Linked DNA regions of Alligator mississippiensis. The protein of the gene in region 2 purifies or fractionates together with the protein of the main gene of each other region. This does not show direct contact. Links are inferred from orthologs where the notes say so. Each region holds a gene or a part of one and is shown on either strand. Other genes may lie near its edges.

Region 1 (7,159 bases), on a different chromosome or scaffold from region 2:
GCTGCTGGCAGTGCTGTGCCCAATGTGATGGGGCTAGTTTTGGCCAAGCTGTGCTGTGCCCAATGTGAAAGGCCTGGTCTCAGCTGGGCTGCAAGCTGTCTTGTTCCTGGCATGATGGGGCTGGTCTCAGCAAGGAGCTGCGGGTGCTGCTGTGCCTGGTGTGACAGGGCTAGTCTCAGCCGGGCTGCAGGCTGCACTGTGCCTGGTGTGATGGGGCTGGTCCTGGCTGGGGCAGTGTATGGTGCTGTGCCTGTCATGACAGGGCTGGTCTCAGCTGGACTGCAGGCTGTGCTGAGCCTGGCATGATGGGGCTGCCAGTGGCACTGTATTGAACACTGGCAGGGCTGGTCCTTGGCCAGGCTGTGGGCAGTGTTGTGCCCATCACTACAGGGCTGGTTTCACCCAGGGGCCATGGGCAGTGCTGTGCCCGGTGCTATAGAGCTGGTGTTGGCTAGGCTGCAGGCTGTGCTGTGCCTGGCATGAAGGGGCTATCAACATGGCTATGTCTGGCATGACAGGGCTGCAGGCTGTGCTGTGCCCGGCATGATGGGGCTATGGAAAGCACTGCGCCCATGTGAGGGCCCCAGTCCCAGTCCCACTCTCTCTGCCAAGAAGCCTGGTAACAAATGCCTGAACCCAGGCACTGGCCCAACCCACTGAGCCAGGGCTGCCCCACAGCACTGAGCCAGGGAGACAGGAATTGGGTGGGTGTGAAAGCAGCGGGCCTCAGTCTGTTTCCATCTGCTGCAGCTCTAGCCCCTCCCTGTGCTCCATGCCTAGCTGGGTAAGGGCCGGGCTCCTGCCCCTGTGGACAGGCCTCCAGACACCAGTCATAGCGGGTCAAACATGTGTGGACAGCCAGGCTCTGTAAGTCTGAACACGGGAAGTAACAGATGCTCTAGGCCATGGGCTGAAGGACTGTGGGAACCAGAACCCCTGGCTTGAGTGGCACCAGGCTTCTTGACCACCACTAGTGCCCCTTGCTGTGCCCTCTGCCCTATGTGGTGCCCCCTGCTGTGCCAGCAGCCCAGGTCCCACTGAGAGGCAACACTGCCTTCCTGGTGCCTGCAAGCAAGAGAAAGAAGCCCCCAGCCCATGCCTGGCTTGAAGCAAGCATACTTGGCACCCCTCACTGTTGCCGGCAAGGACACAGAGGACATGCTCTGGCCCCTAGGCTGCCTGGCATGGGAAGCTCGGACTGTGACCACATCCTGGCTATGCATTGGGAATGGGCAACTGGCACGACCCCACCCTGCCGCCAGCAGGGCCTGCTCAGAGCTATGTCCAGCTGCCCACCCAGCCCTGTGGTGCCTTCATGCCAAGCCTGACACTGGTATCAGGACCACAGGCTCCCAGCTTCCCCTGTTGGAGTCAGTCTGCCTGGGAGTGTGGAGCTGCCCAGGCTACAGCTTCTACACTAGGACGGACAGGATAGTTCCTCCTTGCATGTCCATCTGTCCTAGCTCAGGGTGGCAATATCTGTGGCAGGCAAAGTGCCTTGCCCAGCTAACCCGTGTGCAACAGACCCACTCCAGCCCTACCCGCAGTGGATAAGTTCTCACACTCTCAGAGGAGCAGGCAGGAAAACCCATAACCACATGAGTCATGTTGACAGGCCAGAGCTGGGAGACCCCCTGGACAGGTGGGCGCAAAAGTCCATGTGTGTCACAAAAGCGGGCATGACAGTAGCATGTTGCACGGCCCTGGCAGGCTCAGAGCCGGGAACTGGCATGAGGCGGGTCCAGCAGGCATGGACCAGGCCAGGTGGCATAAGCCTGCACTGCTTGGCCCAGCCATGTAGCCACTAAGGTTACTGGGGGTGTCACATGTGGAGGGCAGCAACCATGTGAGGGCTGGGAAGACGCTGACTGGGAAGGGTGATGCTGGCCGGGGCAACGCCTGATAAGACTGGACAGCATGCATGGAAACGGAGGGTTCTGGGCAGCGTGGGCATGGGATGCATTGGACGCGGGTGCTGGCATGGGCGTGGCCCATGTGCAACCTTGCTGATATGGCTCAAGGCAGGGTGGATGCTGCGGCAAGACTTAGTAGGAGCACACGTGCAGTACTGGGAGGGCAGGTGTGCCAATGAAGAGGGTGTGGACAGTACAAAGCACTAGGTGCGAGTGAGCCCAGACAAAACACCATAGGACTGGAATGAGGGGGATGGGACAGTGCAGTGGGGATCGCGTGACAGGGCTGGGACACTGGAGTTAGCATGATGGGGCCAGAGTGGCACAGGGGGGATTGACGTGACTGGACCCAGGCAATGCCAAAGGGCTGGTGCGCCTAGGCTTGGCGTGACTGGGCTGAGGTGGTGCAGGGAGGTTGGTGTTACCAGGGCTTGACGTGACCCACATGGCGCACACAGGGGTTTGGTGCACCCCGTGTCCAGGAGCTTCATGTGCCCAGCACACAGGAGCTTAGTGTGACTAGCACCTAGGGGCTTGGCATGGCCAAAGGTCTGGTGTGACCCATGGCCAAGGGCTTGGTGCAACCCACGACTGGGAGCTGGGCATGACCAGGGGCTTGATGTGACGCATACCTGGAGACTTTGCATGACATAGGCTTGGTGTATCCTGCACCAAGGGTCTTGGTGTGACCAGAGGCTCGGCATGACTGGCAGGGGGGGGCGGGGGAGTGCGACCAACACTTGGAACTTAGCATGACCAGTGCCCAGGGGCCTGGTGTGACCAGGGCCTGGCATGACCCATGCCTGGGGTTTGAGTGTGACGGCACTTGATGGGTCCTACGCCCAGAACCTTGGCATGACATACACCCCGGGCCTTAGTGTGACCCATGTCGGGGGGGGGGGGGGAGTTCGCGACCTGTGACCTCGCCCGGCCCCGCCCCCCCCCGGGCGGCCCCTCCCCCCTCCCGGGGCCGCTGTGACGCACCACGGTCGCGCAAACGGGGGGGACTCACGCACGCCCCCCTCTCACGCCCCCCTCCCCTCCCCATCCCTCCCCTCCCCACCGCCTCGCGCGTCGTCGCCGCCCCCCGCCCCCCCGACACAGAAGGGGGGAGGGACGGGGGTCCGGCCGCGCGCGGGGCACTCACAGCCGCTCCTCGTCGCCGCTCGGCGCCGCCGCCATTTTCTTCGCAGCGAAGAAACCCGCGGGGGGGGAGGGGAGGGGGGGAGGGGGGGGGCCAAGCCGGGGTGGGGGGGGCCAAACCGAGCCGGAGAGGAAGCCCGGAGCAGGCAGGCCCCACCCCCTCCCCGATCCCCTCCTTTGCCGCACTCTGATTGGCCGTGGGCACTGCCCGTCACGCAGCCACCGCACATCCATTGGCTCCCGCGGGCGGGCCGCGGGGCGGGTCCCCCCCCCGCGCTCCCCCGCGCGGCAGTTGGAATTGGCGGGAAGCGCTGTCAGTTAGGGCGGGCCCCCTCCGGAAAAAGTGGGTGGGGTGGATGGAGCGCGCGCGGCGGCTGATTGGGTCTCGCTGCTGCCGCTGAATGGGCCGGCCTCCTGCCAGTCACTGTAGGAGGGAGCGTGGGGGGAGCCCAAGGAGGGGTGGGGCGCGGCATGGCGCGGCGCGGGGCGGAGGGGTTTGAAATTCAACGGCAGTTTGCAACGGTCCCAACCGCTGCCCCGCCCAATACGTCATACTCATGTTCACACCAAAGCTGTCACCACGCTTATGTCAAGGGAGCTCTGGGACCCCAGCACACTATGCTCACACCAAGGCAGCTTCAGGAACCCAACTCACTATGCTGATGCTCACACCAAGGTTATCCCATGTCCACACTCCTGCTAAAGTGGCCCCGGGACCCGAACACACCACACACACTCATGCTTACACCAAGTCTGTCTTGTGTCCACGCTCATGCCAAAGCAGCTCTGGGACCCCAACATGCCACACATGTTCACATCAAGGCTATCTTATGCCCACACTCACACCAAGGTGGCTCTGGGATCCCAAAACACCATGCTCACATTCACACCAATGCCATCTTGTGTCCACACCCATGCCAAGGCAGCCCTAGGACCCCAACATGCCACGCTCACCAAAGCTGCCTCGTGTCCACGCTCACGCCAGCTCGAACCCCAACACACCATGCTCATGCTGACAGTCACACCAAGGCTGATCACCTTCACCATCCGCCATAAAACTGGCAAGTCAGTCAGCAATACAGAAGTCCCTGACTTTAGGAAAGCTGACTTTGACAAGCTCAGGAGGCTTGTCAGTGAGGCCCTAAGGGACCACGACCCCAAGGGGAGGGGAGTTCAGGAAGAGTGGCTGTTCTTCAAGGGAATGGTCCTCAATGCACAAGCTAAGGCTCTGTCTCAGAGGAAAGGCAACAAAAGGGCACAGCAGCCCCCTTGGCTCTCCAGGGAACTAGCAGACCTCCTCTGGCTAAAAAAAAAGGCCTACAAAGGATGGAGGACAGGATCCACCTCCAAGGAGGAATACTCTGCACTGGTCCGGTCCTGCAGGTAGCAAACCAGGGAAGCCAAGGCTGTGACGAAACTCCAGCTAGCTACAAGTATCAAGGACAATAAAAAGTCCTTTTTCAGATATGTGGGGAGCCAGAGGAAAACCATGGGCAACATCAGACCCCAGCTAAACCAGATGGGACAACTGACAACTGATGCCCAGGAAAAAGCCAACCTATTAAATGGGTACTTTGCATCGGTCTTTCATCAGTCCCACGGGACGCCCTTGCCCATTACGGGACAGGGAGACTCAGGTGAGGGAGATTCCCTCACACACAAGACAGCCTTGGTGTGAACATGAGTATGATGTATTGGGCGGGGCGGCGGCTGGGACTGTTGCAAACTGTGATTGATTTTTAAACCCCTCTGCCCCAAGCTGCACCATGCTTCGCCCCACCCCTCCTTGGGCTCCCCCCACGCTCCCTCCTACAGTGATGGGCAGGAGGCCAGCCCATTCAGCATGGGCAGTGAGACCCAATCAGCCTCCACACATGTTCCACCCGCCCCAACCCCTTTTTCCGGAGGGAGCCCACCCTAACTGACAGCCGGACAGGGAGGCCCAGGTGGGGGGAGATTCCCTGCCCTCCATCAATGCTGACCTTGTGAAGGAACACCTTGAGAGGCTGGACACCTTCAAGTCAGCTGGCCCTGACAATCTACATCTCAGGGTACTCAAGGAGCTGGCAAGCATCATAGCCAGTCTGTTAATGTCAGGTGCTGGGCTATTTTGTTCAACATCTTCATTAATGATGTGGACATTGGAGTCAGAAGTGGACTGGCCAAGTTCGCCGATGGTACCAAACTCTGGGGTACAGCACCCGCACCTGAGGACAGGAGGGCGATCCAGGCTGACCTTGATAGGCTCATGAAATGGGCGGACAAGAACCTGATGATGTTTAACACTGAAAAATGCAAGGTTCTCCACCTTGGGAGGAAAAACCCGCAGCATGCTTATAGGCTCAGCAGTGCTACACTGACTAGCACTACGGATGAAAGGGACTTGGGGGACATGATTGTCCACAAGGTGAACATGAGCCTTCAGTGCAATGCTGTGGCTAGTAAAGTGAGCAAAATGCTGCCTTGCACCCATAGATGCTTCTCAAGCAAATCCCAGGACGTCATTCTTCCATTATACTCAACCTTGGTGAGGCCGCAGCTGGAGTACTGCATCCAGCTTTGCGCTCCACAATTCAAAAAGGATGGGGAGAAGCTTGAGAGAGTCCAGAGAAGAGCCACGCGCATGATCAGAGGTCAGGAAAACAGACCTTACGACGACAGGCTGAGGCTTCAGCCTGGAAAAGCACAGGCTCAGGGGTGATCTGGTGGCCACCTATATGTTCATCAGGGGTGCTTACCAGGATTTGGGGGAAAGTCTGTTCACCAGAGCACCCCAAAGGATGACAAGGTCAAATGATCACAAACTCCTCCATAACCGTTTCAGGCTGGACATATGGAAGAACTTCTTTACTGTCCAAGCCCCCAAGGTCTGGAATAGACTGCCGCCAGAGGTAGTTCAAGCACCTACATTGAACACCTTCAAGAGAAATTTGGATGCTTATCTTGCTGGGATCCTATGACCCCAGCTGACTTCCTGCCCCTGGGGCAGGGGGTTGGACTTGATGATCTTCCAAGGTCCGTTCCAGCCCTAATGTCTATGAAATCTATGAAGGCTGTCTCATGTCCATGCTCACACCAAGGCAGCCCCAGGATCTGAACACACTATGCTCATGCCCACATTCATGCCAAGGTCATCTCATGTTCATGCTCACACCAAAGCAGCCACAGGATCCCAACATGCCATGCTCACACCAAGGCTGTCATATGTCCACACTCATGCCAAGGTGGCCCTGGGACTCCTGTGTTATGCTCATGCCACAGCCCTCCTGGATCCACACTCATGCTGGGACCCCCAACATGTCACACAAACCAAGCTGGCCTTGTGAGCCCTAACATGTCACAGTCATGCCACCACCCTCCTGTGTCCATGTTCATGGGGCTACCCACAACACACCACACTCATACTCACACCAAGGTGGCCCAGAACCCCCAACACATCACGCTCACACCACGGGCTTCAGTCTATGCTTATGCCAAGAGAGCCTCAGGAGCCTCAATACATCATGTCAAAGCAGTCTTGTGATCTCCATGTCACACTCATGCCACAGCCCTCCCTCCCCCCCGCTCATACCAGGACCCCCAACACACCACACTCACACCGTGGCACTGGGACCCCAAAACATCATGCTCACTTTGAAGTCATCTCATATCCATGCTTACATCCAGACCTGGACACATGCATGGGTGAACCGGGTGGCCACCTAGGGCCCGGATAGAAAGGAGGCCTGAAAATTAAAACAAAATTACAATTGCAAAAAAAGTTTTAATGCACATATACAGGATTGGCAATATTATCAACTGAGAACAAACTATTTAAAGACATCGATACCACAGACGTGATAAAGACCTTTGCAACAAGTCTGATTATTATTATCATTATCTCTGGCAAAGGGGGACCTGATACTCAAAGTTTGCCTAGGGCCACCAGGAGCCTAGATACAGCATTGCTTACACCAAGGTGGCCCTGTGACTCCTAATATTTCATGCCTGTGCTACAGTTGTCTCATGTCCACACTCATGCCAAAGCAGTGCATGGAATTCTACACGTCACTGTCACGCCACACCCATCTCATTTCTGTGCTCACACCAAAACAGCCTCATGA
Region 2 (7,821 bases):
TGTGTTTCTGGACGACTGTGATGCTAACTTAAGAGTGCATGCAAGCTGAAAAGAGTGCAGGCAGAAGTGTGCTAGATGTCAGAGATGGCTAGGCAGGCGAACAATAGATCTGGAGCAGTGTGTTAAGAATCAAGAGGCAAATTAGTGCCTTTTAACATGTCTAAGAGTTGCTTACTAAGAAGCTAGAACATATAGAAGACCTCAGGAAATAAATTACATTTTTGCCTCCAAATGAAGACCAACCTTTCAGGCTCTGATCCTTTGGTGCAGCCAAGGAGCAGGCAGATTGGTAGGGAATGTAAGGGATGGCTTTTATATTCTTTTGGTGTTTGGGAGCCAGTAAAGGTGATCGAGCTGGTATTTTCTGAGGTTAGATTCTGCTGTGCTAAATTCTGGGAAAGATCTCTTGCTTATCTTGGCCCTTCAACAGAAGTAATATAGACAGAGAAGAAGACTGTGATAGGTGCATGAGTGCAGCTGCAAGCAAGAAAAGATTTGGTTGGTAGGTATCAGAGTGGTGAGCTAGGCGTGTTCAAAAGCCATAGCTTGAAAAGTGCTAAAGCAGAAAGACTGTCATCTGGTAGCGTGTTAATATCATAATTTAACAATACAGGCTAGAATGTGTTGGCAACTCCTGGCATGTGTGCTGAGCGTGGCGCACGAGGCCATTTTGCTTGGCACGCTGTGGCCAGCCCTGGCCAGCAACGGAACTTGGGCTGCTCCCAGCTGGGCTTGCAGCATCCCAGCTGCCTGTTGGCTGCAGCCGGGAGGTTCCAAACAGCAGTGCCGGGCTCTGGCATCAGCTCCTCACTGGCGTGTGCAGGCGCACCTCTGAGCGGGCGGTGGGCGAGGGGCCTGAGACGCCGTATGCCCGGTCTCTCCCCTGCTCCCAGCATGGAGGTGAAGAGATGCGCTGGGCTCATCATAGCCAGCCCGGGCTCTGGGCAGCTGCAGTGGGCAGAGTGCAAACAGCTGCGCTGGGCTGCACAGCTCTGGCATTGGCTCCGTGCTGGCGGCGACTGCACGGGCACCTCGGGGCAGTCAGCAGGGCACCCCACCCCCAAGATGGCAACCCCGGGGGGGGGGGGGCGGCTATCCTAGCAGCCCTCAACAGTTCACCAGAACTTGGTAATTGGCCCTCAAGCTGAAATAATTGTCCACCCCTGGGCTAGAAGGTCACAGTAGTGGCAGTATTGTTCAGTGTCTAGGGCATTCCATGCAAAACTCTGTAAATGTATAGGCTGTCTAAACAGATATCACGCACTAATTTGATTCGTAACTGTTGAGCCTGTTCTGTTAATAAACTTATAAATGATTAGTTGTAATTTCAGTATTTTAACTGTTTGTGATGATCTGCACCAGTCACACGTGGATGAAAAACATATATATATATATATAGCTCAGTGATCAGTCACTTTCTTATCTTTGTTTCTCAAATCAAATTGGTTTCAGCTGTTGTTTCTATATATTTATTTACTAATCATTTTGTCTTGTAAAATTATAGTCTCAGATGCTCTGAATTTACAGACTTGCCACTTGCTCGTTTTATTTCCCATAGGTGTTAGGCAGTTGTGATTTCCCCCCCTCCCCCCCCCCCCCCCCCCCGCTATTTGAATGGCATGAAAAAGAAAACGTTTTTATTTCATAGTGCCACTGAGCTTAGTTATACAAGGAGATGGCTTATTTCAATTATATGTGCCCATTTACAAAATTCTAAATGTTTTTGTGACTTGGCCTCTTAAATTGGGCATTGCTTAAAAAAAACCACTGAGGAATGCCGTGTGTACAAGTTAGATTTTATACTACTAGATTTTCAGTTACTTTATTAGCTTAAGTATAAATCCTGACATTGATTTTAATATTTCGTTTAAAGCTTTCTAAACGTGTGTCTTATTTGCTGTTCCTGTGACTGGTACTTTTTATTGAAGGACTTTATGTACTAATGGATTGTGTCTCTTGTCCAGCTGTCCTGGGTGCTGCAGCTGTGTTACATAGGGTCCTATGTTGTGGCCTTTGGTATGTTAGGAAGCTGTTACAGTTTTTAAATTCTGCTTGTGGTGATCTGTGTCCTTTACTCTGTTTTTGTTTCTTGTCCCCAAGCATAAAATAGCTTTTTGTTGTTCTTCCAGCTTTTATTAAAATTACTTTTCCATTCTCCTGCCCCAACTAAAACATTTAATTCAAACATGGCTTGTTCAGTAGAGTAAAACAAATGTTCGAAATGCATCAGGTATGATCTTGCTCGTTTTATTATGAGCCTTGTGTTAGGGATATAAATACTGTTTTTAAAATATTTGTTTAACCTTCTCTAATTATGTGGGTTAAATGATTAAGCTACAACATGGCAACTGCTGAGAGCGACTCCTAGAGCTTTTGACTGGGGGAAGGGGTGGAGGAGGCAAGCCCAGCCAGACAACACAGTCTAGGTGAAGCCTGTAAAGGAGCAATTATGCGTTTAATTGATGAGTAATTAGCAGGGATCCTGGTTTTCTCTGATTTTAAATAAAATTGCAAATTCTCTGATAACCCCAAAATCCATGATTAAAATAAAAAGCCACTATGCCTGCCTGCCTGTAAGTTGAACACAATGTTTTATTGATATATTTACAATTTTAAAGCAATTTGGAAGCACACCAGTGCCTCGATCACTATAATACATTCTAAATACTTGTAAATCTTGGTATTTAGTTGTGTGATTTTATCATGGAAGATCAGAGCTAATCTCTGCCCCCTTCATTCACAGAATGCAGGTCCAGGCCCCTTAGCCCTTTTACCCCCCACTAGTGGGGGCCCCCAGCTGCCAGGGTTACAAGGCCAGGGACCTGGGTCTGAGCCCTTGGCCCTCCGCAGCAGCACCTGAGCCCTGGCTGCTGCCCACGGGAGGTGGTGGCTGCTGTTGCAGAGTAGCAGAACCTGGCACCCAGCATGGCAGGGCAGAGTGGGGCTGCCCAACTCCCTTCCTTCCTGTGGCAGCCTCAAACCCCCACCCCTGCCTGACTTACCTGTGAGAGCTGCTCTCCAGGCTCCCTGGCAGCCATGTGCGTATACGTGTCTCTGGCCTGACTGCGCTTCTCCCGTTCCCCCCAGCCCCTTGCAGGCTGGAACTCTGCCATCCTGCAGATTGCTCATTGCAAAACTGCAAAATCTACATGTTTCTCTGTTAAAATGATCAGTCTGTATTTTCTTGGGTGAAGGGGGAAATTCACTTTTTTCTGTTTTTCCATGGTAAATGGAAAACCTGGATCCCAGGTCCTTAGGCTGCTAGCTGTTTTCCTCTTAAGCTATGGGTACTATAGTCCCCCTTGTCTCTCCCACATCCCTTTCCCCACCACCTGGTTCTTCCTTCCCCGCCCTCCCTTCTCCTGTCCTGGTGCCTTCTGAGTCCTGCTGGGGCACCCACCCCAAGTTGAAGGATAATCCTAAACTAACCCATTATCACTGCACATACCAGTTAAAGGATTAATCGTTTAACCTTTCACATCCCTACCTTGTGTTGAGCTGGAAGGATTTTTGTTTCTAGAGGACAAAGGAGGGGGCACTTAGTTGCATGTTGGCAGTTAGAGGAACATTCCCTATTAAATTCTTTGAATGAGAAGGAGATCAGTGATATCTCTTTTCCCTCCTTCCGCTGCCCCTTCCCTTATCTCGCACTTCACTCTGTCAAAGGAAGCTTGTTCTATAACAGTTGAAAGTAGCACTTTCCATATTGTGTGTCTTATTTAAGCCTTCCAGGAAAAATTAGGTTTTAGTTAAATGAATATTCCTCTTCAGGAATACAGATTAAAATTTTAATTTTGTCAAATTCAAATTTCAAGTCCTAATCTTCAAGCTTCTTCCTGGTTACATTGCTAGTTTGCAGAAGTCTTTCTTTTAGCAGTTCCTTCCCTTTGAGCTTTCTTTTAATACTGTTTCTTGAAATTGTCAGCTTACTCTACACAAGTCTACCACCGTTTCTTCATTCAAACCTCTTATTAAAATCGTGTTTTCTTTAATTTTCTCATTCTAATTTAATATTAAAACAAGATTCTTTTAACATTAAAATCTCATTACAGAAAAAAAATTGCTCTGCTGTCTTACAGATGGAATGTGTAGTGATTGCTTTCTGAACTTGAAATCAAGTCAGGCATCAGAGTTGAGTATTTTTAGCATCCGTAGCGGCTTCAAATTTGTTTCATTAACTTGTATAACTTTATAGTCATATTATTCTATTTAAGTACATTTCTGCTGTATGAAAGATGCGCAAATTACTATCAAAATTACAAAGCTGGCTTCTTACATAATTCCTGTACCATAACTGCTACAACAACACTCCAGTCGTAACACAGCACTTAAGACATATTTCATATAAATGAAATATGCTTTTATTTTGTTGCTTATCAGATTTCTTCTGTCTAAACTTTGTGCAGTAATTTAACCATGGTTATTAATATATCTGTCATTCTAATAGCAATACTAAGCTACAGCAGAACTGACTGAGAAGCCTGCCACAGTAGGTAGCTTTATATTGAATGATGGAACTTGTACAAGTGCTTCTGTGTACAAAAGCATGCATTTAGACCAGGGCATCTGGAGGATGCTTCAGCTGAGTGTATTTCATTCAGGAGAGAACATTTCTAGCTGTATCTAATTAATAGAATTAAATTATGAATTGGGTTTGTTTGTAGAAAATCTTTTTTTCATAATGACTTTATCGGTGCTTAAGCATTAAGGTTATAGAGTGAAGCACTCAAATAAGAAAAAGTGTTAAAGTTGCATGCACAAACTGCATGGATTCTGGCATCTCAGTTACATTGCTTTATTGGGACTCTTCGGCTTGGAGAAGTGAAGACTCAGGGGTGACTTGGTGGCAGCCTGTAAGTATATAAGGGATGTGCATCAGGAACTGGGAGAACATCTATTCACCTGTGCTCCCTAAGGGAAGATAAGATCTATCAGTCACAAACTTCTAGAAGACCGTTTTAGACTGGACATAAGGAAAAACTTCTTTACAGTCCTAGTCTCTAGAGTCTGGAATAGACTTCTCCCAGAAATGGTGCAAACACCTACTCTGGATACCTTTTAAGAAATGCTTGGATGGGGTGATCTGACCCCAGCTGACTTCCTGCCCCCTGGACAGGGGGCTGGACCCAATGATCTCACAAAGTCCCTTTCAGCCCTAATGTCTATGAAATCTATGAAACTGAATGCAGATTGGAAACTAGTGGGGAAAGCTGTATACTTGTTGCTTTGAATTTGGATTGAATACTATTTTCACAATCTAGATGAGGAATAGATTCTTTAAGATGATAGTTTGATATTCTGGAGTTTGATTTGGTGTGTGCAAAGGATTATGTGACAGTTGTCTAAGATGGCAGGATCACACTGACCTAGAAGATCTCTTTTCATTTTGACTTCTTCTGATGTGAAGTGGCAACTGAAGAAATTTTAAGTGTTTTGCACAGTTTGTGCAGTGAGTCAAGCGAAGTTTCATAGAAAAGATTAAATATTACCTTACTGCCTCATTCACTGTGAGGTAGTGTGCAATAAATTAAAGTATTTGTGAATTTTATTGTATGATAACAGGCTACATGGTAATCCATACACATGGGGGAAGGACTAAAAATGAAATCTTAAGGTTGAGAGTCACAAAAAACTAAGCATACCAGTTATTAATTCAAGTGAGTTTAAGAGCAATTATCAGATGCTCTACTTATGGTTCATGCAAGGAAGTTAAACTTCATTGGTGCATCTACCCATGCAGTTAATGCAAAGCAGTAAACTGTGAAACAACTCAAGCTGGACTAAACTGTTCCCAGGTGCAGTATCTATATGTGTACCCGGGATGGTGATTTGAGCCAGGGCAGCAGAGTAGGCCCCCAGCTGGCCGGGCTGACCAGATATAGTTTACTTCTGCGATCAGCCTCTATACGTCCATTTCAGCGTGGTAAATGACTCTGCTGTAAGATAGTACTGTCCCCAACAGTATTATCTTATGGCAGAATTTTAGTTTACTGCGCCCTAATATCAACTTGCATGTAGACAGTGATGCTTTACTGTGGAGCTAATTAGTCAGCTCTGCAGTAAAGCATATATTTAGATGTGTCCTATATGTTTTGGATGCAAGTAGAGTAACTTTACTTCCATTGCATTAGTCTTCTACTGCAATAGTTTGTTCAGTTTTAAGGGCAAGATCCACAAGAGGCCTTCAGGTTGGTGATACTGAGCCATGAGTCAGTCCTGGGCACCAGGGCAAAATTAGTAGCCTGTTGATTCAGTTATACACCTTTCAAAATGCCTGGGGGGGAATTAGATGCCTTTAGAATGGGTTTCAATAACCAGTATTGTTAAGCTGCCCAAGGGCTCCAGTAGCAGTCAGGGACTCAAGATTTTAAGATTGACCTCACTTACCCCCTTTCTTTTAGAAACAAAACAAGGCTCCTGTTTTTCTTTCAGAATATGACTAGAAGAGATGGTGGCAATGTCACTGTTTTTTCTAGGATAGCCTTGTGGTTAGAGCATGCAAGTGGGATATAGGTGGCCTGGGTTTAATTTCTTATTCCTCAGGGGATTCAGCGCATTCCCCGCCAAGCCCCATCTTCCTCCACCCCAGGTGAGTGACCTGATCTGCAGACTAAGCTGTTCTGTGAAAGTGGTGGAGCTTTGCAGATCATTAGATTAATTGGGCCAGAGTGCAAGTGTGATTGGTCTGGCAAATAATGCAGTTGAAAGCATATCTGCAAAATGACTGCTCTTCACTAGTTTGTAATAACATTTGGAATAGGTTTTTGGGGTTTTTTTTGTTTTTGTTTTTTTGCCATGTTATGTGATATAAAACAACTTGCTTGTCCCATGGTCCTGTGTTAAGTATGTTATTGATTTATTTCCTCCCCATTTGATTTTTTTTTTCCCCCCTTTATTTTACATTGTAGATATCTGTTAGCATGTTCTTAAATAGTACAATAAAGAGTTAATTATTTGAAGTGTTTAGTTACCCAAATGCAGGACATGTTGCCAATTTGTGTCATGAGTGTTATAAATGAGAGCAGGGACAACAAAATAATTGTTAAATATTATTAACAATTAAAGGGAGGCCAGCGTGGGCAGGTTAACCTTTTTAATGGTTTAAAATTTTTTTTCTCAACCTTCAAATAAGAAAAGGACCTGTACATGTATACATGTTCATTTAATAAGCATTTCATTAACCAAAATTGGTTTTTATTAAAGGAATTAGTTCCTAGTTAACTGACTCTATTATATATTTATTGCTATTTTTATATAAAAAAATCTAATTTTGATGGCCTCAGTTGAAAGAAAAATGGTTTAATTAAAGTCTTAAATGTAGGGAAAATCATAATGGTCACTAGGTCCAGATTTGGAATGTTATTTAATTGTTCTGTTTTCAACTTTTCAGACTATGAGAAGACAACGAAATGAAGTTGTCGTGGAGTTAAGAAAGGTGAGATCAGTTAACATTGCTTCTTTCAAAAACAACTTGATGTCTCAGAATTTTGAGTTACCAGTATCTGTATGATCACAGTGCATATTCTTTTGTAGACCTTTGTGAAAGATGCTATCAATCTTTTGTTTTATAAAATTTGTCCAGACATTTGGACAGCCTTTTAGTGGGAGGGAAGCTTTTGAAAGGCAGATCTTACTAAGTCAGAATCTAAGAACTCCACCTAAGTTGTCTTCCTGTAAACTAATTGAAGAAGTTTTATTTCAACTAGTTACACAAACTTCTGTGATCCAAATAATTGTCTCATTGATGATCAGCCCATATATTATTCTTTTATTTGTTGCTTGGCTCAAATAGTTTAATGAACAGGTACCAGTTGCCCCATC
Region 3 (8,017 bases), on a different chromosome or scaffold from region 2:
TGCATGGCTGCGGCTCGAGCGGCTGTTGAGACCTGTGGAGGCTACGGTGCGGTTGCGGCTGGCCGACAGGAAGTGCTTCTCAAAGTCGTGGAAGCTGCTCAGCTCCCGCTCTGTCAGCCCCGTCACCATAATGCTGTGGTCTGGCGTTTCACGCAGCACCAGGTCCCGCCCTGATGGCTCCAGGAGGTCCAGCACCTGAACAGGATAGGCACTGAGGGGAACCATACACCAGGGGATGGCAGTGGGGGCAAGAAGAGGGAGAACGAGTGGAGGAGTCTCTCCACCAGGCTTAGGGGGGTCATGGGGGTCCCACAGTGCCAGCAAGGACCCTAGGCAGCTGGTGGGGAATGTAAAAACCCAAGGCCTCTAGGAAAGCATCATTTTGAGGCATGGACCCTTTCCTGAATCACCAAGTCCAGGCTAGCCCCCCCTGAGCACCATGGCCCTCTCCTGTGCGCCAAATCACTAGGGCCTGCTCCCCACACTGTGGCACAGGAATTTTAAGCCACTTCCTCTGTCTCGCAACCGTTTCATCCGCTGCCCAGAGAGCTGCCGGAGGAAGCACTGAATGGAAAGTGTTTGGGGACCGCTCGAGGTCTCCAAACCCTCCAGGATGGCCTGTTGCTCCTCCTAGCCCAGCTTTCTGGGGTGTTTGCTGTTCAAGCTCACTCAGAGGGGGCAGCTTGTTACGGGGAAACAGGGACATAGATCTGTTTGCTGGGATTTGAGGTGGTTTGGATTGAAACCTGGGACAAAACAGGTCCCTGGACAGATGGGGAATGAGCTGGAACAAGCCTCGGCTCTTTTGCAGACTTTGCAGGTACCCCAAGGGGGCTGTGGCTTCCTTTGCTTGGACTCCAGCCCGAGTGTCTCGCCCCTATACCCTCCCCAGCACCCATGATCCTTCTCCCCTCAAAGCCTGGGAGCCCGCAGCCTGTTCCCCACCACATACCTTTTCCTGGTAGACTTCCAGGTAGGACATGGAGACAGAGTAGGAGCAGTTGTGCCCGTCAGGCCAACAGCCAGCCTCCCGCACCATGTGCAGGATGTCACGCACAGCCCGAGGGATCACACCAGGCTGCTGGGGGCTGCCCAACATGGTGTGCGTCTTCCCTAGGGGGGCCAGAGAGGCAGCACTGAGCCCCCACCACCACCCACAACACAGGAAAGAAAGAGACCTGTGTGCTGGTGGACTGAAGACCAGTCAGAAAATTCACCACCCCCCTCCCCAGCCTCAAGCTCAGCAAAGCGCACCGGAGCACGTAAGGAAGCTGAGGCAGATGGGCCTTGTGACAAATCCCAACCCAGGACAAACCCAGACACCTCTCTCCCTCACCACATGCTCACCCGCCCCGGTGGGCCCATAGGCCAGCACACTGGCGTTCTGCCCCTGCAACAAGTGGTGCAGGATGGGCTGCACAGAGCTGCAGTAGACATCTTGCTGGGTGGCTGTGTCCCCGTAGAAGGTATCGAACCTGGGGGGAACAGCAGGGTGATCACCACTGCGGGCTGCCAAAACCCCCCATTCCTCCCCCCTTTCCCCCACACGCACTGGTACTTGAAAGTCTCCTTAGCATTGCGCCAGTTGACAAGCTCGAGGGAGCGCGAGTCCAGGCCACGAATGCAGGGTTCCGAGTCTTTGCTGCAGGGGCGCAGACGGACACAGACACGGACTGGGACAGGGGTGTCGGGCTGGCGATGCTCCTTCATGCTGGGCCGAGGCTGGGACTGCATGGCACTGCAGAAAGAAGAGGGAACAGGGATCAGAAGCAACAAAACACATGCTTCACCCTCACCCAGCTCCCTTCCTACCTCCAACACCAATTTATTTCCCTTCAAAGTTCCCTCCACACCCTGCATGCCCCACAAAACTGCCTCCTCCAGCTCCTAGTCCCTACTCCAGGCCCCTCTCTGCCAACCTAGCACCCAGCCCCTGCAAAGTCCCTGGGCCCCACCATTGAAAGCACCAGCCCCAGCCCCCCAGCCTTCAATGTCTGCCTCCCCAAGGCCCCAGCTGCAGCTCCCCTTCCCAACTACCCCCATCCTGCCAAAGTCCCCAAGCCCAAATCTACCCTCCCCAAAGTCCCCGTTTTCAGCTCCCTTAGGTCCAGCCCCGCAGCTTTCCACCACCCATGCCCCACTCAATGCCATCCTTCCCAAATCTCAGATCTCCAGCTACAGCTCCCCTCCTCCGCTGCCACAAGGCCCACCCCACTGCAAGCTCAGCCCCCCATCCTCCAACTGCATCACCCCAAACCCAGCCATCCTCCACCCGAGCCCCCAGCTGCAGCACCAAGATGCCCTTAACCCAGCGCTCCACCAGCCCACCTCCCAGCCCCACTTTCCTATTCTTAACCATGAAGTTCAGCCTTCCCAAGCCTCCAGCTGCAGCCCCTTCCTCAGCAGCCCCCAGCACCACCCCCAAATCCATCCACCCCAAACCCCAAGCTTGAAGCCCCCCACCATCCCTAGACCCTAGCCCCCCAAACCCAGCCCCACCTCCAGCCCCTACCCAAATCCCCAGGTCCGTGGGGACAGTGGGATGGCAGAAGGGAAAGCCCATCGTGGCAGCAGGCTTGCCAGGCCAAAAAAGAGAGAAGAGAAAAAAAAATCTAGACATGAAGAAATCCCCAAGCTGATAACACAGGGCCTCCACCCAGCTCCATGGGTGTCCTCCAAACAGCGTGGCAAAAATAACTCCCAAATATCCAGGATGAATTGAGTGAATCAGACATAGCTCACCTCCCAACCACTACGCAACCATCAGCTCCAGTCAGTAAAATAACCCAATTTTATTTCAGTTTTCTGCTATTAACCTGAAAAAAATCAGAATAAATCGTTGCTTTACAAGGTCCCCTCTCCCCGAGTCGGCAACAACGCGGTTAATCCGCGTCACGCACCGAGGAAGCGCCTTTGGCAGAAAACAGCGATTAACCCAAGGCTTCCCGACCAGCGATTTAAAGCGGATTGATTCAACCAAACCCACGCGGCGCTCCCCCAGGCCCCCCCGCACCCAGCCCCTCCCCTTAAGCCCCCGGTGCCCGCCAGGCCCAACTCCACCCTCCCCCCAGCTGCCCCCCGGGCCCGGGCCCAGCTCTGCAGCCCCCACCGGCTGCAACACCGCCCTCACCCAGCCGCTTCCCTGCCGGAGCCGTTTGTTTTTAGCGCTCACCCCACCCCGCAACCAATCAGGAGCCCCCGTGGGGTAGGGGGCGGGGCTAGCACCACGCCTGCGCTTCAGGAAGGGGAGGGGCCGCGCACGCGTGTTGCACAGGCAGGAGGGAATCCGCATGCGCCTAGATGAATATGGGGGGGAGGAGGGTGTGCTGATCAGCATAGAGTGACCCCTCCCCCCGGCGTGAGGTTTGGGCGCATGCGCACGAGGGGAAAAAAAAAAAATCATGCCCGGTTGGCGCATGCGCAGTAAAGAGGAAGGGATAGCTAGCTAGCAGGATAAATGAATGGATGGTGGCGCTGAGGCATAGGGACAACAGTGCCTGGTGGCGCATGCGCATTAAAGAGAAAACCGAGCGGGGTGGGGCGCATGCGTCATAGGGCAACAAGTTGCCCATGGCGCATGCGCAGTAGAGGAAAGTGGGCGGGTGGTGGGATATCAAAATGGCGGCAGGGCTCTTTGTTTGCTTGGCAGCCTACCGTTTGCCCGGCCCCGTCCCTCTTAGTGGCCATGCCCCCTTCCCCCACTGCAGTCAGTGAGCTGGGAGCCCCTCAAATGTCCACCAGGGTGGCCAGCCCTGCCTTAGTGCCTTCCCTGCCTTGCCCTGAGGCAACTGCTCAAAATGGCTGCCGTGGCGGTGTGAGCCTGGCCTGTGGCTGGGCCCCAAGATGGCCTCGCTACTGCCTTGGCGTGTCAGGCTGAGGGCAGCGTCTGTCCTTGGGAGGGAGCCCCAGGATGGCTGCCGTCACCAAAGCATGAGTGGCCAAGATGGCCACTGCCATGGCATGCCGGGGTGGGGGTGCACCTGAGCCCCGAGACGGTCACCACTGCCTTGGTGCAACCGGGTGACGGCGACGCCTGCTGCAGACCTGAGCCCTAAGACGGCTGCCACTGCCTTGGCGTGACTGGGTGAAGGCGATGACTGCTGTCAGCCTGAACCCCGAGGTGCCCACCCCCACCTTGGTGTGACTGGGTGAAGGCAGCATCTGTCCTTGGGCTGAACCCCCAAGATGGCAGCCACCACCTTGGCGCGACTGGCATGAGTCCCCCTGCCAGCAGTGTGGGGGTCCCGGGCTCCAACCCCGGCCCTGCGGCCCCACGAAGATGCACAGCAGCACCTCCTGTACCCCATGATGCTGCGCTCCGTCCTCCTTTCCTCCCGCAGCACAGTGTGGGAGCCATCTCGGACACCTGGGCCCACTTCCCTCCCCCAAGAAGAAAAATCCCCTTGCTGCAGCTAGAAGACAAGGGCTTTTCCTCCCCACTCCTGCAGCGCCGCTACGAAACAGCCGCCCTTGCTTTGTTCTGGCTCTAGCAAAGCTCCAGTGAGATTTGAACTCGCACCCCTGGTTTATTAGACCAGTGCTGTCACCTCTGAGCTGTTTGTTTTTTCCCCTGCTTCTCTGCCACACACAGTAGATATAGCTACCTGCTCTTCCCTGGGAGACTTTAGGGGGTGCAAGGACCTGCTGCACCCCATTGCAGCTCCAGGGACCTGGAGCAGAGGCTTCCAGATGTGTCCCCAGGGTCTCCTGCCTCTGCCAGCCCCAGGCAGAGCTCATTGCAGGGGAAAGGGGTTAGAGACACGTGTGACCTGAACAGCCTCAGAGTTGACCTCTGACCTCCTGCTGCTTTGCCCCAGGGGCAGTCTCATGCTGAGGTTTCAGGCCAGGATCCAGGACCCTCAGCTGGGGCTTCCCCCCTGCTGGTCCCCTCAGCAGCCAGGCTCCAGGGCAGCTCCGCAGCTGAACTCACCAGGCCCCGGCCCCTCTAAGCCGGGCATGGGAACCCGCAAGCTTGGGACCCAGTAGATCTCAATACCGGGGGGGTGGGGGCAGGATTTCCAAGGGGAAAGTGCCTTGAAGTGGGACCAGACACAGACTTTATATGTGCTGGGGGATGTAGCTCAGTAGTAGAGCACCTGCTTCGCATGTAGGAGGTCCTGGATTCAATCCCCAGCATCTCCAGCTGCTTTTGCCCCTGCTCAGGCCTGGGATGGGCTGAGAGAGCCCAGGCAGCAGTGGGCACTCAGTCTGCCTTTTGGATATAGCTGGGCTGATTTTTCTTCCTCCTTGTAGGGTGAAAGCAAAGGCTCAAAAAGACTACCTGATCCCCCAGGGGTAGCCGACGCTCACCAAAGAGGCCACCCGTCCAGCTCTAAAACACTCAGGGAGAGTTTGGAGCAGAGGGAGCTGCGATGCCTGCAAAACCACCACCTGCCCAGGTAGGAAATATAAAAAAGGAGGTGGAGATTGAACTCAGCACTTCTTACATGGAAAGCAGGTGCTCTGCTACTGAGCTATATTCCCCAGGCCCATAGCCACCTCCACCCCATAGCACTGTGGACCCCATGAAACTCCCTCCCTGAGCACTGAGATCTGCTGGGTCTCAAGGCTGAGGGGAGGAGGCATCTGCTGGGCACCCGCATCTGTTGTCCCAGGGGTGCATCTCCTCCCTGGGCTCACATTCGACCAGGAGGTGCTGGGGGAAAAAAAGGAGCTGGAGATGCAACCTAGGGCTTCATGCATGCAAAGCAGGTGCTCTACCACTGAGCTACACAGCCTACCAGGGACTTATCCCAGGGACATTATCCCTGGATGTGCCCCCTGCCCTTGTCCAGCTGCACCCAACCCCACCCCAGACACTGGGCACATTTCACCAGCTGCACCCCAGCCTGAGCGACCCGCTGAAGCCCCTGCCTCTGCTGTGCTGGGCTGTGGTGGTGGGCAAATGCCCCTCAGAGACAGGGTTCAGCTAGCCCAGGCCGAGTTGCCTTGTTAACCTCATTGACCACCAGCAGCCTCCTGCTGCTCTGCCCCCATCTCCCCCACTCCCCACGGGGTTTTCCAGCCCCTACCCAAAATCTTCCCTTCATGCACCATCACCTCCACCCCCACCAGAAATTTGGAAGCAGGACAGAGGTGTCACCTGGCACCGCGGCTCTAAACTGCGAGTTACAGAACCATTGATTATCCAGCATCATTCCTGGGTTGGACTAGCTGTGATCTCCGAGGGTCCCTTCCTGCCCCACTTCTCTACAATAACCCACGTCTCTGTCGTTAGGACAATCATCGACCCCCAGAGTGTATGAGCTGTGGCTTTCATTCCCACCCTGTACAGCCAGTAATAAAATGACAGCCAAAGCTGGCACGGGCTCTGGAGAATGGGGTCAAATCTCACAGCATCAGATGATGACCCACCTAGCGTCGTAGAATCATAGAAAATTAGGGTTTGAAGGGACCTCACGTCACATCTAGTCCAACCCCCTGCTTAAAGCAGGACCATCCCCAAATAGTTATTGTCCCAGCAAGGGGAACCTGGCACCCAGCTGGCTTTAGTGCCAAGAGACCTTTGTATTGCACCAGACCTCCTGGCCCCTGCACTAGCCTAGGCTGCGGCCTGCGGTGCTCTCGGTTTCATGGTTTCCAAGGGACCCAATCCTGCTTTCCCAACATGTTTCGTATCAGAGGGAATATTTATTCTTTTGCAAACACTCCAACAATACCCAGTACACCAGAAAAAGGGGGGGGGGGAGAGAATAAACCCTCTAAATTTATTAAGGAAACTAAGACACCCAGGTTAAGAAACAGGACAGAAGAGGCAGGCAGGCTGGGGACTGCTGGAAAAGATACTGTACTTTCTCACATACAACACACCCTGGGATATAATGCGCCCCTTGATCTGAAAGGCAGACTGAAGGGGGAAAAAAAGCTCTTTCCTTGCCGTATTTCTCACATATAAGGCGCACCAACATTCCCAGGAGCTGTTTTCTGGGGGGGAAGTGATGTGGCATACCAGAAAGTACAGTACTCTTATGAGGCCTCTCCAGCTGCTCTGCACACATTAGTGTTTCACCTGCAATTGCCTTGTGCTACACAATGCCATAACCCCACGCTACAGAAACAAAGCCCAACACCAACCCCTGCATAACACAACGACAAACCCCTCTGCAAGCCAGGCCTGGGACGCAGCTGTCCACGGGGCCCTGGGCAGTACAGCCAGCACCCCAACGGTTGGGACTGTCTGTCGCCCCGGAGAAGATCCTGGAGAGGGGCCGGCCTCACTCCATGCCCAGACGCTGGCAGGAGCAGGCCGGCTGGGACCGGCTGAGGATGGCACTGACCAGGCGCTCCAGGAGCTGCCGGTCCTGCTCCCGCTGGGTCTTCTCATGCTCCAGGAAGCGCTCCATGAGCCGCTCCTCCTGCTCCAGGCGGGCACGCTGGATGGCCTTGTGCTCCTCACTGCGGCGGCACATCTCCGCGAACATGTCGTCCACGGCCCGCTTGCGCTTCCCCCGCAGCCGCACCGTGCGCTCGCTCAGCCGTGGGGGTGGGCTGGCCGGCTCCTCATAGGTCGAGCCACCTGGGTGGGGAAAGGGAACAGAGTGTTACGTGTACCCAGGCACCAGGGCGGGGAGACTTGAAGGATGGTCCCCCACAACCACACTTGACTTTTGATCAAGGAATATACTGCATGTATTCACATCCCATAAACCTTTGCCCCCTCTAAAATTAGAGAGTGCATCTTAAGCAGGAAAGCTGGTTTTCTTCCCTGGAATAAAGGCACTGTGCTATAACATTGCCGCTTCTCTGCATGCGGCAGGGGCGGAGTCCAGCCGTAACCCTTATCCAGCCTCTGCCCCATTGGCATTTGCTTCTGGCTTAGCAGCCAAAATCAGACACAGCTACACGTGCGCATTTAATGTGCATTAGCCCAATTTAAGGTGCATTAATGGCACCCTTAATGCGCCTTAAAATGGTGATCTGAGGCAGCGAGCCTAAATTTGATCCCCACAGCTGCAGCAGAGTGTAGGCCTAGATCACCCCAGTGATAGAGAGCCCT

The links.
Region 1: the proteins of KPNA4 (region 2) and MECP2 purify together in Homo sapiens (affinity purification with mass spectrometry; 3 studies listed by BioGRID and IntAct, counting the BioPlex papers as one, with this or other methods). This does not show direct contact. The link is inferred for Alligator mississippiensis from reciprocal best matches to the Homo sapiens genes KPNA4 and MECP2.
Region 3: the proteins of KPNA4 (region 2) and KIF22 purify together in Homo sapiens (affinity purification with mass spectrometry; 3 studies listed by BioGRID and IntAct, counting the BioPlex papers as one, with this or other methods). This does not show direct contact. The link is inferred for Alligator mississippiensis from reciprocal best matches to the Homo sapiens genes KPNA4 and KIF22.

Annotation. Positions count from the first base shown.
Region 1 is NC_081831.1:28,770,888-28,778,046, reverse strand, and holds the start of MECP2 (methyl-CpG-binding protein 2), read right to left. Parts: upstream 3,207-7,159; 5' UTR 3,096-3,206; coding exon 3,061-3,095; intron 1-3,060. UniProt on the Homo sapiens protein: Chromosomal protein that binds to methylated DNA. It can bind specifically to a single methyl-CpG pair. It is not influenced by sequences flanking the methyl-CpGs.
Region 2 is NC_081830.1:68,628,793-68,636,613, reverse strand, and holds the start of KPNA4 (importin subunit alpha-3), read left to right. Parts: upstream 1-4,707; 5' UTR 4,708-6,496; coding exon 6,497-6,589; intron 6,590-7,390; coding exon 7,391-7,435; intron 7,436-7,821. UniProt on the Homo sapiens protein: Functions in nuclear protein import as an adapter protein for nuclear receptor KPNB1. Binds specifically and directly to substrates containing either a simple or bipartite NLS motif.
Region 3 is NC_081838.1:25,093,630-25,101,646, reverse strand, and holds the start of KIF22 (kinesin-like protein KIF22), read right to left. Parts: upstream 3,254-8,017; 5' UTR 3,173-3,253; exon of another isoform or gene 3,110-3,172; intron 3,002-3,109; exon of another isoform or gene 2,901-3,001; intron 2,817-2,900; 5' UTR 2,743-2,816; intron 1,739-2,742; 5' UTR 1,735-1,738; coding exon 1,553-1,734; intron 1,476-1,552; coding exon 1,348-1,475; intron 1,114-1,347; coding exon 953-1,113; intron 196-952; coding exon 1-195. UniProt on the Homo sapiens protein: Kinesin family member that is involved in spindle formation and the movements of chromosomes during mitosis and meiosis. Binds to microtubules and to DNA. Plays a role in congression of laterally attached chromosomes in NDC80-depleted cells.